2 linked regions of the Rattus norvegicus genome follow. The protein of the gene in region 1 purifies or fractionates together with the protein of each later gene. This does not show direct contact. Links are inferred from orthologs where the notes say so. Each region holds a gene or a part of one and is shown on either strand. Other genes may lie near its edges.

What was found.
Region 2: the proteins of Iqgap1 (region 1) and Myl6bl1 purify together in Homo sapiens (affinity purification with mass spectrometry; 3 studies listed by BioGRID and IntAct, with this or other methods). This does not show direct contact. The link is inferred for Rattus norvegicus from reciprocal best matches to the Homo sapiens genes IQGAP1 and MYL6B.

Annotation. Positions count from the first base shown.
Region 1 is NC_086019.1:144,086,516-144,093,177, reverse strand, and holds the end of Iqgap1 (ras GTPase-activating-like protein IQGAP1), read left to right. Parts: intron 1-207; coding exon 208-316; intron 317-3,191; coding exon 3,192-3,305; 3' UTR 3,306-4,390; downstream 4,391-6,662. UniProt on the Homo sapiens protein: Plays a crucial role in regulating the dynamics and assembly of the actin cytoskeleton.
Region 2 is NC_086025.1:1,496,310-1,503,605, forward strand, and holds Myl6bl1 (myosin light chain 6B), read right to left. Parts: upstream 4,850-7,296; coding exon 4,612-4,849; exon of another isoform or gene 4,393-4,611; coding exon 4,249-4,392; exon of another isoform or gene 4,119-4,248; coding exon of another isoform or gene 4,087-4,118; exon of another isoform or gene 3,455-4,086; intron 3,279-3,454; coding exon 3,105-3,278; exon of another isoform or gene 2,779-3,104; coding exon 2,701-2,778; exon of another isoform or gene 2,651-2,700; intron 2,645-2,650; exon of another isoform or gene 2,588-2,644; coding exon 2,559-2,587; 3' UTR 2,306-2,558; downstream 1-2,305. Other genes in the region: Myl6 (myosin light polypeptide 6), read right to left, coding at 174-283, 371-544, 781-924, 1,692-1,719, 1,964-1,966. UniProt on the Homo sapiens protein: Regulatory light chain of myosin. Does not bind calcium.

The DNA of each region.
Region 1 (6,662 bases):
CAAGTGCTTCAGGGAGAGGTGACCATTTCTCTCTCCAGGTGTCAAAGCAGACGACACGGCAGGATGTTCTGCCAATGGTGCCACCTCTCCAGGAGAACTTAGGTCCCAGACCTTCTTCCAGGCACCCCTGATACCTCCCTCCCCCAATCTCAGAGTCTTAGTACCTAAACACTCAAAGCTCACACATATGGTGTTGTGTTTCAACAGATTTAAAAATGTTATCTTCGAAATTGGTCCAACAGAAGAAGTTGGAGACTTTGAAGTGAAGGCCAAGTTCATGGGCGTTCAGATGGAGACTTTCATGCTGCATTATCAGGTGGGTGTGCACAGCCCTGGGCCTGAAGCTCTTGAGTGAGGTAGGAGAAAGAGATAAGAGAAGGCCCTTTGGGGAAATCTGTGTATTCAAAGAGCTCAGCTCCGAGTTGATGGGAGAAGCCAAGGGTTTGGGGAGTGGGTGTGGTCTAAAGTGCTTCAGAGTACACCCAAAGCTTCACTAGTGTGCCCTGGACTGAGCTGGTGCCCTGGCGTGAAGGAAGGGCCTGACTGTAAGTGTTAGCAGTGTGAGACTCCACGCTGTGCAGTCCTTGACCTCTGTTTTTCTTCTCATTTGTGTCTGATGTGGATACTTTGGTTAGGAATACTACTGAGAATCGCGTGAGTGCATTGCCTCTATCTGAGTCTGAGTCACATCTTAAATTCGAAATTAATTCTAACAATTTTATAACATAACAGTTTCTATTTCTAAGTGTCTTAACTTTTTTTCCTGGTGCTTAGGCCCAACCCTAAGGACTTGTGCTTGCTAGGGAAGCTGTTTCCCACTGAGCTCTATTTCCAACCCCAAATGTCTAATTTTGGGGAGTGGGAGGAAATCTTATACAGCCCAAGCTTTTCTCAAATCCACTATATATTTGAGGCTGGCCTTAAACTCTTGATTCTCCTGTTTCTCGCAAATGCTGGGATTATAGATATGTGCTACCATGCCTAACTGCCTAAACATCTAGTTTTGCACATTAAAAAATTGTACCAAGTAGGGATGGTGACACAAACCAGTAATCCAGCACTCTGGAAACAGAGGCAAGAAGATTCAGTGTGAGGCCAGCCTGGACTTCCAGGCCAGCCTGTATAGTGAAGATGATCTTCAAAATCCAAGACCAGAAACAAGCAGAAAATTGAGAGGATTCATAAGCAGTGCCCAGACCCAGCTATGTGTGCACCACATAGTAGGCCTCTTGTGGTTTCTATTGGTTGGTTTCTTTCTTTTTCTTAAGATTCATTTATTTTTATGTATGTGAGTACACTGTAGCTGTCTTCAGGCACACCAGAGGAAGGCACTGGATCCCATTCAGATGGTCGTGAGCCACCATGTGGTTGCTGGGAACTGAACTCAGGACCTCTGGAAGAGCAGCCGGTGCTCCTAACCACTGAGCCATCTCTCCAGCCTAGCTGGCTTATTTTTTGCAATGCTGAGAATCAAACTTAGGGTCTCACACATGCTCTGCTGCCCAGCTACTCTTCCAAGTCCCACCATGCCCTGCTTCCACTGCTGTGGTCTAGCAAAGCAGGCTAGTGCCTCTCTGCGAGTAAGCGTTCCAGCTCCTGCTCAGGATGCTCTGCCCTTGTGTAATTGGCCTCCCTCCCTCTCCTCCTCTCTGCCTTCTACCGCCATCAAACAGTGAGCACCGGCACTGTTGTTGCCTGCCTGCAGCCACAGCGGTGGCCCTTCCCTTTGACTCAGCAGCCCTGAGAGACATCCTCTGTTGACAGTGTGAGCTGACTCATTTCCCTGCCACCCCCAAAACTGGGAACTCCTAAAGCAGTATGTCTTAGTCATCTTTATCTCCTTGTTGGTAACCAGTAGTCTCTCAGTGCATATTAATTAGTAAACGGGAAAGGTTTTCTTCATCCATTGTAACTAAGCACTGCTACACACAGCCCCTTATCCCACTGGTCTCACTGTGCCTGCAGGCCAGCCAGTCTGCTAAGGCAACCAGAGTCAGCACATTGTCTGACTCGTCGGTGCATGGGCTTAGGGTTAGGCTAGGCAGAGAGGACACACCATGGTCCCCATCCTTGTGACACTGCAGTCCCTTCATACCCTCTCTCGTCATCACTCTCAAAAGTTTAGTGGTAGGAATGACAGTGCTGCCATATGCTGTCAGGACAGCAGAGAGTGTTAGAAAACAGCCTGTCAGACCCCATCACCCCAGAGCCAGCTCTTTCCTCCTGACGGCCGCGCCACCCAACACCCTGAGCCTCAGCAGCTCATCTTTATAAAGTTTAGATTGATCATGCTTCATATAGTTTTTGTAATGACCTGGCAATATAGAGGGGAAGGTGCCTGCACAATGCCACGCACAGGCTGGGCAACCATGACTGTGCTCCTCCTGTTTGCTTGCACCTTTCTCATGCAGAGTTGAAGCTGGAGTCTGGCAGGGCTATGGCTGTCTGTAGAGACTGTGTATTCCGTTCCCAAGAGACCCTGGGTTCAGTCTCCTCAAACAAAAGACCCCAGTAGATTGTAGAGCTGCAGATGTCGTTCTCTGTTGGTAAACACTTGTTCGGCATGCACAGAACCCTGGTTTTGATCCAGCACTGTAGAAACCGAGCATGGCAGCCATACCTGTCCACCCACCATGGAGACAGCAGTATTCGGCCAGCCTGTGCCAAAAGGGCCGAAAGGGGTTGGGGGTGGGCGGGGGTATCTAGTAGGTACGGAGACACTACAGACCTTTCTCATTTTCAGCCATTGGCATATTTCATGAATTGAAATGTCTTTAATACATGTGTATTAAAACCTCTAACCTACCTACAGCTGAAACAATGAGAAAATGCCATTGTAACTTTTGAACTAAGGCTTCAACGTATTTTAACTGAACATAACTCTTAATTTTCCTTCATATGTTTAGAATATTTTACTATAAACTAAATGATAGCCTAAGACCAAGTTAGCTTGAGGGTTCCCTCAGCCAGAACTCCCTGTTGCTTCAGCATCCAGGGTGGCTGTGCGGACCCAGGTGGCCATGTGGTATGAACCTCTGCACTGAGAACTTGTGTCTCACCTCCCCATTTTACATCTGGCACGTGAGGCCTGCCTCACCTCTCCTGGACCCTCCCCTCATGGAGACCTTTCCCTCCTTCCTTCTCTCGTTCCAGATTTGATGGTTAAATTGTTGTGTTTTGTCTTTAAACAGGACTTGCTGCAGCTACAGTATGAAGGGGTTGCGGTCATGAAGTTGTTTGATAGAGCTAAAGTGAATGTCAACCTCCTGATCTTCCTTCTCAACAAAAAGTTCTATGGGAAGTAACGGGTCACTTGCCACCCGAGGAATAAAAACAGGCAACACTCCACAGCTGTCTTTCTAGGAACCTCCATTACTCCTCGGAAGCAAAGACCTGGTCCAGCAGCCTCAGTTCACACTCCTGAAGCCCGTGTTTAAGTCCCCCCTCCCCCGACAGGCTCAGTGCCCTCTTCTATATGGTGAAGCCGGATGACTTCCCCTCAGCCCTGCTCCCCTCATTTTCTCTCATCATGTAGAAAAGAGTGGAACCCCACCCAACCCCTTTCTACGAAAGCCTCCTAAGTGGTAATTACTATTTTGTAAACATTGGTGTTTGTTTTACTTAGCAATAAGAATGGTGGAATCCAAATTCTTGTTTAGAGGTAAAAGCTGTCAGGTTGCTAGCAAGCATCCGATTCGGCATTAAGTACGGCCCGGCCCGTGAGCAGTCAGAGGATGAAGTCCGTGAAGTCTTCCATCTGCTGCCTTTGTAGGCGGAGCTGATCCAAGTTACTGCTCTCTGTTCAAATGAAGCAGCTTCAGGAGAAAAAGAGCAACTACTTTTGAATTCTCCACTCAATGTGGGCAGTACAGTTAGTGCAGAGCCCTTCCTGGTGAAGGTGAACCCCCACGGTCATGGAGACCTGAGAGACTGAGTGGGCAGGGCACTCACCATCCCTCCCACAAAGGGATGGCTTACCCTAGCTCAAAATGTAACTGTTTCTAAACTGTATTCCAGGAGTGCCTTACCAAAGTATAAATTTATTTCTTAAAATGTGAGTGATAGGAATTTTAAAGATTTATATAATGCTTTAGAATACTGAGAAAGGGTTGTTTTTTTCATTGGGTTCATCTGTATATCTGAATTCTTGAAGCTTTTCTGTAGCCTGTACTGAGGTCTATCTACCAAGCTGCTGAGCTAATCCTGCTTGATTTTAGCAACAAGAGACAACCCACATCATGCTTGAAGTTCAATCCATCTCTTCTCTGTTACCTACATCATGCTTTTATCCTGAGAAACCTGCACCCTTAAGCTCTGACTAACAAAGACAGCTCCAGACATTGAATTTGGAAACCTTTGTCCTTGGATTAAAAGTCATAAACTTTAAAAAAAATCTCTTTATTCCAAAAGATAGGTAAATCATGCTACTGAGCCTCTGATGGCTTTGATGTTTGGTTCGATATTCTTACATAAAACATAAAAATTAAACTAATTTTTATGCAGAGTTTCCATATGGATATCGAAGGCCAATAAGCAGTTTTAATTAGCGACAGTGTGTGGTCTGACCCTGTTATAAATGTAAGTCTTGGAGAAGTGTCCTTTACGAGACCCACAAGTGCAGGCCGGGCTGGAGGCCTCCGTGAGCAGATCTAGGTAGAGGCGGGGCCAAGAAAGGATCTGACCCCACAGTGACATTGTGTTTGGAACAGAGTTTTCTGAGAAAACATTTTCTCCAGGTTAAAAGAAAATGCTAAGGCTGGCGTAGTAGAAGACACTTATAATCTAAGCACTCAGAGGCTGAGGAAGGAGGATCAAAAGATCACTAAGTCAAGGCTAGCCTGGGTTACACAGCCCCGCTCAATCTCCAAAAGACAGAGAAAGAAAGAAAGGAAAAAAGGAAAAAGATCCTGTTAAAACCTCAAAATCAAGGTTAGGGGATGCGGCAAGTGTGCCTTTTTTCTTTTTCTTTTTTTTTAAGACAGAGGAGATGGGGGGCTCTGTTGTCTTGGCTGTCCTAGAACTCTGTAGATCACGCTGGTCTAGAACTCACAGAGATCTACCTGCCTCTGTCTCCCGAGTGCTGGGATTAAAGGTGTGAGCCACTATACCTGGCTTTCAAGTATGTTTTCTTTAAGAGGATGCCATTCCAAATGTCCCAGGGGCCAGCTGCAAGACAGTAATGAGCCCAGGTTACAGCGCCTTCAGATGTCTCAGTTACCTGAGAGGATGTTCCTTCCCTGAATACCCAGTAGAACTGTGCCACATGCCCTTTGAGAATCCCCATGGCTGCTGTGGGTCCTGCTTAAGCAGAAGCAGAGGTCACCCAGCTAGCGAGCCTCAGGTTGGCACCCTGAGGTCGGGCTGCGCCTACGTTATTTATTAGCTGTAGCCATCTCTGTCTTGGCTCTCGCCTCCTCTGACCTTCTCTCTGACCAGCCGTCATGACATTTACTATGAATTTACTTCCTCCCAAGAATTTGGACTGGCTGTCAGACTGTTGCTACACACAATTGCCTTTGTATCATCGTATGAAATAAAAGGTCATTTGTTCCTGTTTGTGTTTATTTTTCTTGGTTTCATTGTTAGCAGTTCCTGTTAGACGGTGTTAACTAGAGTAAGATTAAGTCACCCCCCCCTCCTTTGTAGTCTTTTGAAAAGAAGAGCAAACCAAGCCTGCCTTTGGGTCACAGAATATCTCTTGTAATTTTATTTACTGCATGGGTATGGAGCTCAGAGGACAACTTGGGAGTCAGTTCTCTGCTCCCACCATGTAGGTCCCAGGGATGAAACTCACTGATTATGCACTTTGTTAAAAAAAGGGGTGTGTGTGTGTGTGTGTGTGTGTGTGTGTGTGTGTGTGTGTGTGTGTGTGACACACACAGTCATGCGCCTGCATATCAGAAGAGGGCATCAGATCCCATTACAGATGGTTGTGAGCCACCATGTGGTTGCTGGGAATTGAGCTCAGGACCTCTAGAAGAGCAGTCAGTGCTTTTAACCACTGAGCCGTCTCTCCAGCCCCCAATTATGTACTAGTTCTAACATGCTGTTTAGCCTTTTAAAGTGTATTACGCTTAATGTACCCTCTACATAAGAAATATAGGAGGAGCCAGACATGATGGCCCAGGCCTTTAATCCCAGCACTTAGGAGGCAGAGGCAGGCAGGTGGTCTGCACAGTGAGTTCCAGGACAGCAGGGCCACACAAACCCTATCTCAAAAAAACAAAAAAAGAAAGACAATGCAGTGAGGGACAGAGTGTTGCCGTATAACTGGCTAAAGAAAGACAATGCAGTGAGGGACAGAGTTGCCGTATAACTGTAACTGACTAAAGCATGAAGTTTAAATTTTCTGTTTATATTACTTAACGAAAAAACACCGGATGTTAGGCATTCATGAAGAGTTTTTCTCGGGGGTTTCCGTCGCATGTAAGTCACCAGAAGTGACTAGGCTAAGTTGGATATGGAGAAAGTCAGCAATTGTAAAAAAAACAAAACAGGAGCTGGGACTGATGCTGGGGAAATGGCTCAGTACGTAAGAAGCACTGTGGCACAAGCGTGAGTTCAAATCCCAGAATTTACATAGTAGCACAGTAGCACGTGTCTTAATTCAATGTTCCTGTGGTGAATGGGATGTGGGGACAGAGGAACCCAAAAGCTGGAGG
Region 2 (7,296 bases), on another chromosome or scaffold:
CTTCCCATCCCTAGCCCACCCTTCAGATTCTATCGCCCCTTCCTTTACTGTTAGGTCTGTCCCCAACAGTTCTCCCAGGCTGACCTGAGCCTTGCCCCTTGACTGCTGGCTCCCTTCTGGAACCAAGTCTAGGAATACAGTACCTCCTTAACATACCCTGAATGACCGTTTCCTCAGAGGCCCCAGTTTATAGTGTGCCCCTTACCTTCATAGTTAATGCAACCGTTGCTGTCCTCATGCCCCGCCACTAGCATCTCGACTTCTTCCTCTGTCATCTTCTCCCCTGCAGAGGAAGGAACATTCTTAGAACTGCATGACGGTGAAATTTATCAAGGTGGCAGCTTAGCTCCACATGGTCACAGACCCTTACCCAGTGTGACTAGGACATGACGGATTTCAGCACCCATGACAGTGCCATTCCCTTCTTTGTCAAACACACGAAGGCCTTCAACATAATCCTCGTAGGTTCCTTGGTCCTTGTTCTTGGCCACAGTCTGCAGCATGGGCAGGAAGTGCTCAAAGTCCAGCACCTTCACATTCATCTCTGTCGTGTGGGAGGTAGAAGTGCCAGACGAGCAGTCACACGTGTTCTCAGGACACAGTGGTAGAGAACACAACTGACTGGCCAGAAGAGGGAGATCAGTGGAACTGGCTGAGATAAAACTTGCTCAAGGTTGGCGCATACACACACACACACACATACGTGTGTGTGTGTACATATACATATATGATGATTTTACCTGAACAACCATGAACCCACTAAGGTCTTGAAATGCTCACCATCGCTCTTGGGGTTCCCCAGGACCTTGAGCACCTCGGCGTTGGTAGGGTTCTGGCCCAGGGCCCGCATCACATCCCCACACTGGCTGTACAGGATCTTGCCATCGCCTGTTCGGTCAAACAGCTGGAAAGCCTCCTTGAATTCTGAGGATTCAGATGAACAGCAGCACCAGGGATTAACCCAGTGCTGCTGCCAACTCAACTCTAGCATGCTGCAGAGACCAGATATCTTGTCCTCCTGTACACCGAAGACTGCGCCTAAGGATCTAATTTCTATCAACTCAAATGCCCCGCATAAAGACACGCAGCCTTCTTCCTTACCTCAAGGTGGTAGCCATCGCTTACACACCCCCTGAGCTACAGCAGGCTAGGCCCTCCACCACCACTACACTGCTCGGCAGGAATTTGCCACCGCCCAGGCTAGGTCCTGCCCATATAAGGAAGTAGAGCAGTGGTCTGGACTCTAGCTTCCCATTCCCACCCTTCCCTTCCAGAGACCTTCCAGGGGGTGAAGCTAAGCCACGGGCTTAGCAAACTCTCCAGTCCCCATCTCAACAGAATATCAAGGCACTGCTCTTTACCGTATTGGCAATCCAAGCTTAAGGAGGGGGCAGTTATCACAGGAGAGGCAAAAGCAGCGGAACACAAGCATAAGAGACCCAACACACAACAGGCAGTAATCATTGTTTCACATACCCACACCACCCAAAACTCACCCAGTGGTTGGGGCTCAGATCTAGAGTGGAAGGGGAAGGAAGAAAGAATGAGAAAGAAAATGGAGGATCTAGAGCCGAGGAGAAGGAAATCCACGGGGCACCCTCCTGGGAGTGCTGGAGATGACAGGTTGGGATCTAGAGGAAGGGGTCCCTCTCGGTAAGGGTGACCTCAGTTGTGGGTCAGAGACTGCCTACCTGCGGTCTGGTCCTCGGTGAAGTCACACTGCTCGGAGAAGAAGGGATTGGTCAGTACTGAGGTCCAATCCCGCAAACTTCTCTCCCGGCTTAACAAACTTCTGTTTGAAGCCGAGGACTTGCTTCCCAAGGCAGAGAGAGCCCTAGACCTTCCAACCCCACATCCAACCTCCCAAAACCTGGGCGTGCCCACGTCCACCGCTTTTCCTACCCCCACCCGCGGTCCTCTCCCTGCCCCAAATCCCCCTAATCTCCCGATTCCCAGGGCCCACCATCTTGGCTGCTGAGCTATGCGGGACCTTTGCCGGCTGTAATGGCTCCGACTCGGGACCCAACCCCAACCTTAGTACGTCCCACGGCGCTTGACGTCACCCTCCGCAGTTTCATCCAATAGGCATACTAGTTTGGGCTCATGCCGATGACATCACTATATTAATAATGAGGTGAGGGGGGCGCTCCAACTCTGCTCAGGAGCACGGCGGAGGCCTAGGGTGTGACTCTTGGAAGCCTTTCTTCCGAACTGCACTAAGAGCAGGGGATTTGGACTTTTGCAGAAGAAAGGACTACCGCTCCCGTCCTTCCCCTTCCTCAAAAGAAACCAGTCGGAAACCAAAGCAGGAACCATGTTTTTATTTCAAAACCGTAAGTGCCCCCTAGTGGCAGGAACGCACTACTGGCCGCACAGGAGGTGGGGCAAGTTTCCGATCCCGCAGGTTCTACGTGGGGTGGGGTGGAGTTGGGTGGGGTAGAAAGAAAGTTGTCCAGCGCTGGCGGCTGCGCTACAGTCGGATGGGGAAACGCACTGCCTGCGCTTGTCTGGTTGACCGGGATCGTTGCCTCTCTAGAGGGCACTAGGGGCTGCGGAGCTCAGAGGCTTAGGATGTGCTTCAGGAAGGCTGCACACACGAGAGGAGAGGAGAGGACTTCAGAAACTGACCTTTGAGTAAACGAGGGTACACTCCCAACCCCCTCAAGACTCCTCACCCCCCTGGTCATCCTGCCCCCTCACCCTCATAGTTGATGCAGCCGTTGCTGTCCTCGTGGCCTGCCAAAACAGTCTCTACCTCTTCCTCAGTCATCTTCTCTCCTGAACCCAAACACAGTTAGAGCCTCTGCCTTCCCGTACTCACTAGTCCAAGCCACTCTCAGGGTGGTTCGTCCTCCCACCCTCCCTGTCGTCTTTCTGTATGGCACTTATCAACAGTTCCTTGGAGCTGCTAAAAGCTTTGATAGACAAAGAAACGAGCTGCAGGGGTTGAGACTTGCATGAAATCCACCCAAGTGTGGCTTGCAAAGAGGGCATGAGGCTCCCACCACGTTCCCTGCCCTCGGCTCATTGCTAGACATCTAGGCTCTACCAGCTCCTCCAGGTCCACCTGCTTCTCCATCCCACAGTTCTGGGCCCTGCCTCACCGAGAGTGGTAAGAACGTGTCTGAGCTCCGCTCCCATGACTTTGCCGTTGCCCTCTTTGTCAAACACACGCAGCCCCTCTAGGTAGTCCTCATATGTGCCTTGGTCCCGGTGCTTGGCCACTGCCTGCAGCATAGGCAGGAACGTCTCAAAGTCTACACGCCGGGACTTCAGCTCTGGCAATTAGACAGAGATGAGAGAGGGAAAGAGAGGGCGAGAGAGAGAGAGAGAGAGAGAGAGAGAGAGAGAGAGAGAGAGAGATATCACTGAGGTGTGGGATCCAACCTTACTATACATAGTGACTTTCATCCCTTTCAGCACTGAGGATGTTTTCCTTCCCTGTGTTTGACAGTTTTTGAGTCCTGAGATCCACCCCGGTCCTCTGTCACCTTACCAAGTCTGTTGAAAATTGATACTGTTACCAGGCACGGCAGTGCAGTCTTGTAACCACAGCTACCAGGCAAGTTCAAAGCCAGCCAAAACAACTTAAGACTATCTCAACGGGGGGGGGGGGGGGGGGGGGGCAGGGATGTATCGAAGTGGCAGGACACACGCAAAGCACAAAGAGAGAACCACTACACTAGTCCATGTGTGGTGGCACACACCTTCAGTCTGAGCACTGACAGGCTGAGTTTGAGGCCAATCTGGTCTATCTAGTGAGTTCCAGGCTAAGCAGGGCTATGTAGAGACGACCCTATATAATAATAATAATAATAATAATAATAATAATAATAATAATAATACCAATAACCCTATCTAAAGAATATTAATTAAAAGTGTAAAGAGAGAAAGAAAACTGGCAACTAGGGCTGCTGTAAGTTCCAGGCCAACCTGAGTAAAAGGAAAAAGAAAAAAGGACTTCCATAATAAAGGGCTTGCCTGTCTTGCCTGAGGCCCTGGAGTCAACCCAGCAGCACCACATAAACTGGAGCAATCGAACTCCAGTGGGCGGTAGACAGGAGGTACAGGTAGGAGGATCAGAGTTCAAGGGCATTCTTGGCTGCGATACCGAAATTCTGTCTCAAAAAACAGGATGAAGAGAAAGTTGCTGGCTAGAAATGGCACTCCGTGGCACGGGCAGAACGCTGTGTTCAACCTCCAACACCAAGAAGATGGAAACCCCACAAATCTCAAGGTTCCTCTCACCATCACTCTTGGGGTTCCCCAGGACCTTGAGCACCTCGGCGTTGGTAGGGTTCTGGCCCAGGGCCCGCATCAGGTCCCCACACTGGCTGTACAGGATCTTGCCATCACCCACTCGGTCAAACAGCTCAAAGGCCTCTCTGAACTCTGAGATGTAGGGAGAAGGCAATGTGACCAGGGATTCCCATCACCTCCAGCCGGAAGGGAGGTTTGCTTTAGAAATTATGTGCTCGAGCTGGGCACAGGAGGGAGGAGAACAGGACAAGTGTGGGAGGTTTCAAGGTCAGGACTGTCGTTAGGGAACAGAGAATCGGACCAGGAGTTTGGTGTTGGACAATGGGGCTTAGGAAACAGGCTTCTCCTCACCCTCCAGCTGGTCCTTGTTAAACTCGATCTGTAGGGGACAAAAAGGGCAGGTGAGGAGATGACAGGGCTTATTCAGTCCCTCTCTAGCACAACCAACTGGCAGCCACTTCTGGGGAGGGGCCCAAAGGGATGAGGCTGGGAGCCCGGCCACTTTAGTCCCATTCCCAGCCCTGGGCTTTGGGAGCACCCCAAGAGGAATTATAGGGGGAGGGTTTCTTGGGAGCAGGGTTAATCCCATACCACCTGTTCCCTTCCCTCCCGCTACCCCAGTCCTGCATCCCTCACATAACTGGGGGCTGAACAAAGGCTAAATTTACCCCTGCCCCCAGCTGTGATTGTCTAACAAGTCTGTCCTCTTCAGTCTCCCCTCCTGGGGTTCAACAGCTGAGCCAGGAGCAGACAGCACCTCTCTCCCCTGGAAACTGGCCTGGCCTGGGAGCCCCAACCTCATTCTAGCGGTTCATTCATTCCCTACCCTTCCCACATCTTCCCGGTCCCCAATCCCCAAGGCTGCACTGCACCTTTGAACTACCCCTTCCAGATTCACACACTTCCCAGGACTCACCACCACTTTGGAGAGATCAACAGGGGGCTCTTGGGTTTTCACAGGGGTCTGGGGGGCAGCTGGCTCGGCCTTGGTCTTGGCTAGAGGGGTCCCTGCTGTAGACTTGGCAGCAGGCTTAGAGATGGAGGGTCCTGCTGGCTTCTTCACAGGAGCATCCTTCTTGGGAGGCATGATGTCAGGTGGCAGAAGAGCAGTGTGCCGACAGGGGCACCATCTCTGTTTAAATAGGCAGGGAGTCTGGGGTGTCAAGGGGCGGGGGCAGCGGCGGGGACAGGGAGCCAGTTGGCAAGGGTGAGGGAGAAGAAACTTCTGCCTGTCTGCCCTCACTCCCCTGGCCGCCTGTGGTAAAGAGCTCTTGCCCCCAAAGTATTCTTCCTCCTGACACCACTCCCCTAAGGCTGAACAGAATGTTTTCTTTAAGGGTACAGGGAAGAAACAAGGGACTTCTCAGAACAGGGACTGGTAACCTCCAGGGTGACGATAGGACGTTTGCCAGTGATTCTGAGATAGGAGCTAAGGGAAGAGAGAAAAAACTAAACTAAAAAGCAAACAAAAGCTTTCATTACTTTTAGACTGTGGAAAAGCCCAAGCAGAGCAAGGACTTAGGGGTGGCATGGGGGTATGGGGGTGTGAAGGGTATGGGGGTATGGGGGCGGGACAGAGTAACAACCTAGTGTCAAGTGGGAAGTTTTAAAATATGTTCTGGAAACATTAAAGGTGAGAGAAGGGGGTCTTTTCACTCCTTTCTGCTCATTCCTGTATCTTTAGAACTCGAAGTCCCTGGGCCCCCACCTACCCCCACCCCCGCACTGTAACCATAGCATGGCATTACCCACTGAATCCTACACCTAATGCTGATTTAGGGGTTCCAGTGTAGGCAAGGTTTAGCATCTGTCACATATAATTCCAAAGAAGGAACATTTTCCAACAAGACAATGTTATTCAAATCAGACAAGAGGCTAGGATGAGGAGACACAGACAGACAGACAGGCAGGCAGGCAGGCAGGCGCTCGTGTGCGCACACACACACACACACACACACACACTCACACTCACACAGAGGGAGAGGACCCTGGGAGACAATGAGCCCTCTAATACCCCAAAAAGGTTACAGAATCTCCTAAGAAGTTGGTAGGTATCCACACTGGCACCCAACCAGTCAGGATCACAACAAAAACCTTGGCTCAGCTTTGAGTCACAAACCTTGCTGGAAGCGCTGGCAAAGGGAAGAGATGATGTTTGGGAGCTGGAAGGGAGTTCTGGCTACTCTCTTCTTGGATAAAGAAGATTTAGGTAGCATTCTGAGAGACTGGTCATTCCACTTAGGCCCTGGAGTTCACAGAGTGGCAGTGTGTCTTCCATTTGTAAAGGCGTCAGAATCTTTTTACTGCAAATTGTCCCATTTTTGGAAAATAAGGAATCCTTCCGCAAACAACACACCAGTTTCCCTCACTTACACTCACTCCTAAGCCTTAGAGAGGAAAAAGGCCCTCCCAGCCCCTCAAAACTCACCTTGCCGGTTCCAAGGAAGGGGCAGGTGGGGGGGCGGGACTCAGGGCAGCTCCGGTCCCTGAAGGGTTAACAGCGGCGGGCGCAGAGCATGCTGGGAGTCGTAGTCCACGCACGCCCACGTGCTCGCAGGAAACCTTCCCCCGGTGGTGAGAGTTGGCGGTCACTTCCGGCCCGTGGTGGCAATTGTTGACTCAGACACTGAGGCGTGCGCCAGTTCCGGAATTGAAAGGGCTTGAGACGTCCCCACCCTTGACCCTAGGGATGCAGACTCAGGGACGCCCGCAAGGCCAGGGGCGGGGCCGGGCGGTAGGCAGGCGGAGGCTGGGGCTGCTTTCGCTTCCTCAGGCCGTTAGCTGCGGCGTCACGTAACTTGAAGAGTTTCGCATTTTTATTTTATTTTTTTACACATTTGATCTTAGCCGAAAAGCCTAGAGGCTGGCGACTGAGGTAGATGTTAAGATTTACAGTTTAGCCTGGTCATCTGCTCCAGACTTTCCTCCGTGTGCAGGCGTCGGCTGACGCCGCCTATGCAGCGCGTTCGTCCCCGGGAGATCCCCAACAAATGCAGCGCTGGGCTCTGCAGCCTTTCCTTCCTTTTCCGACACCAT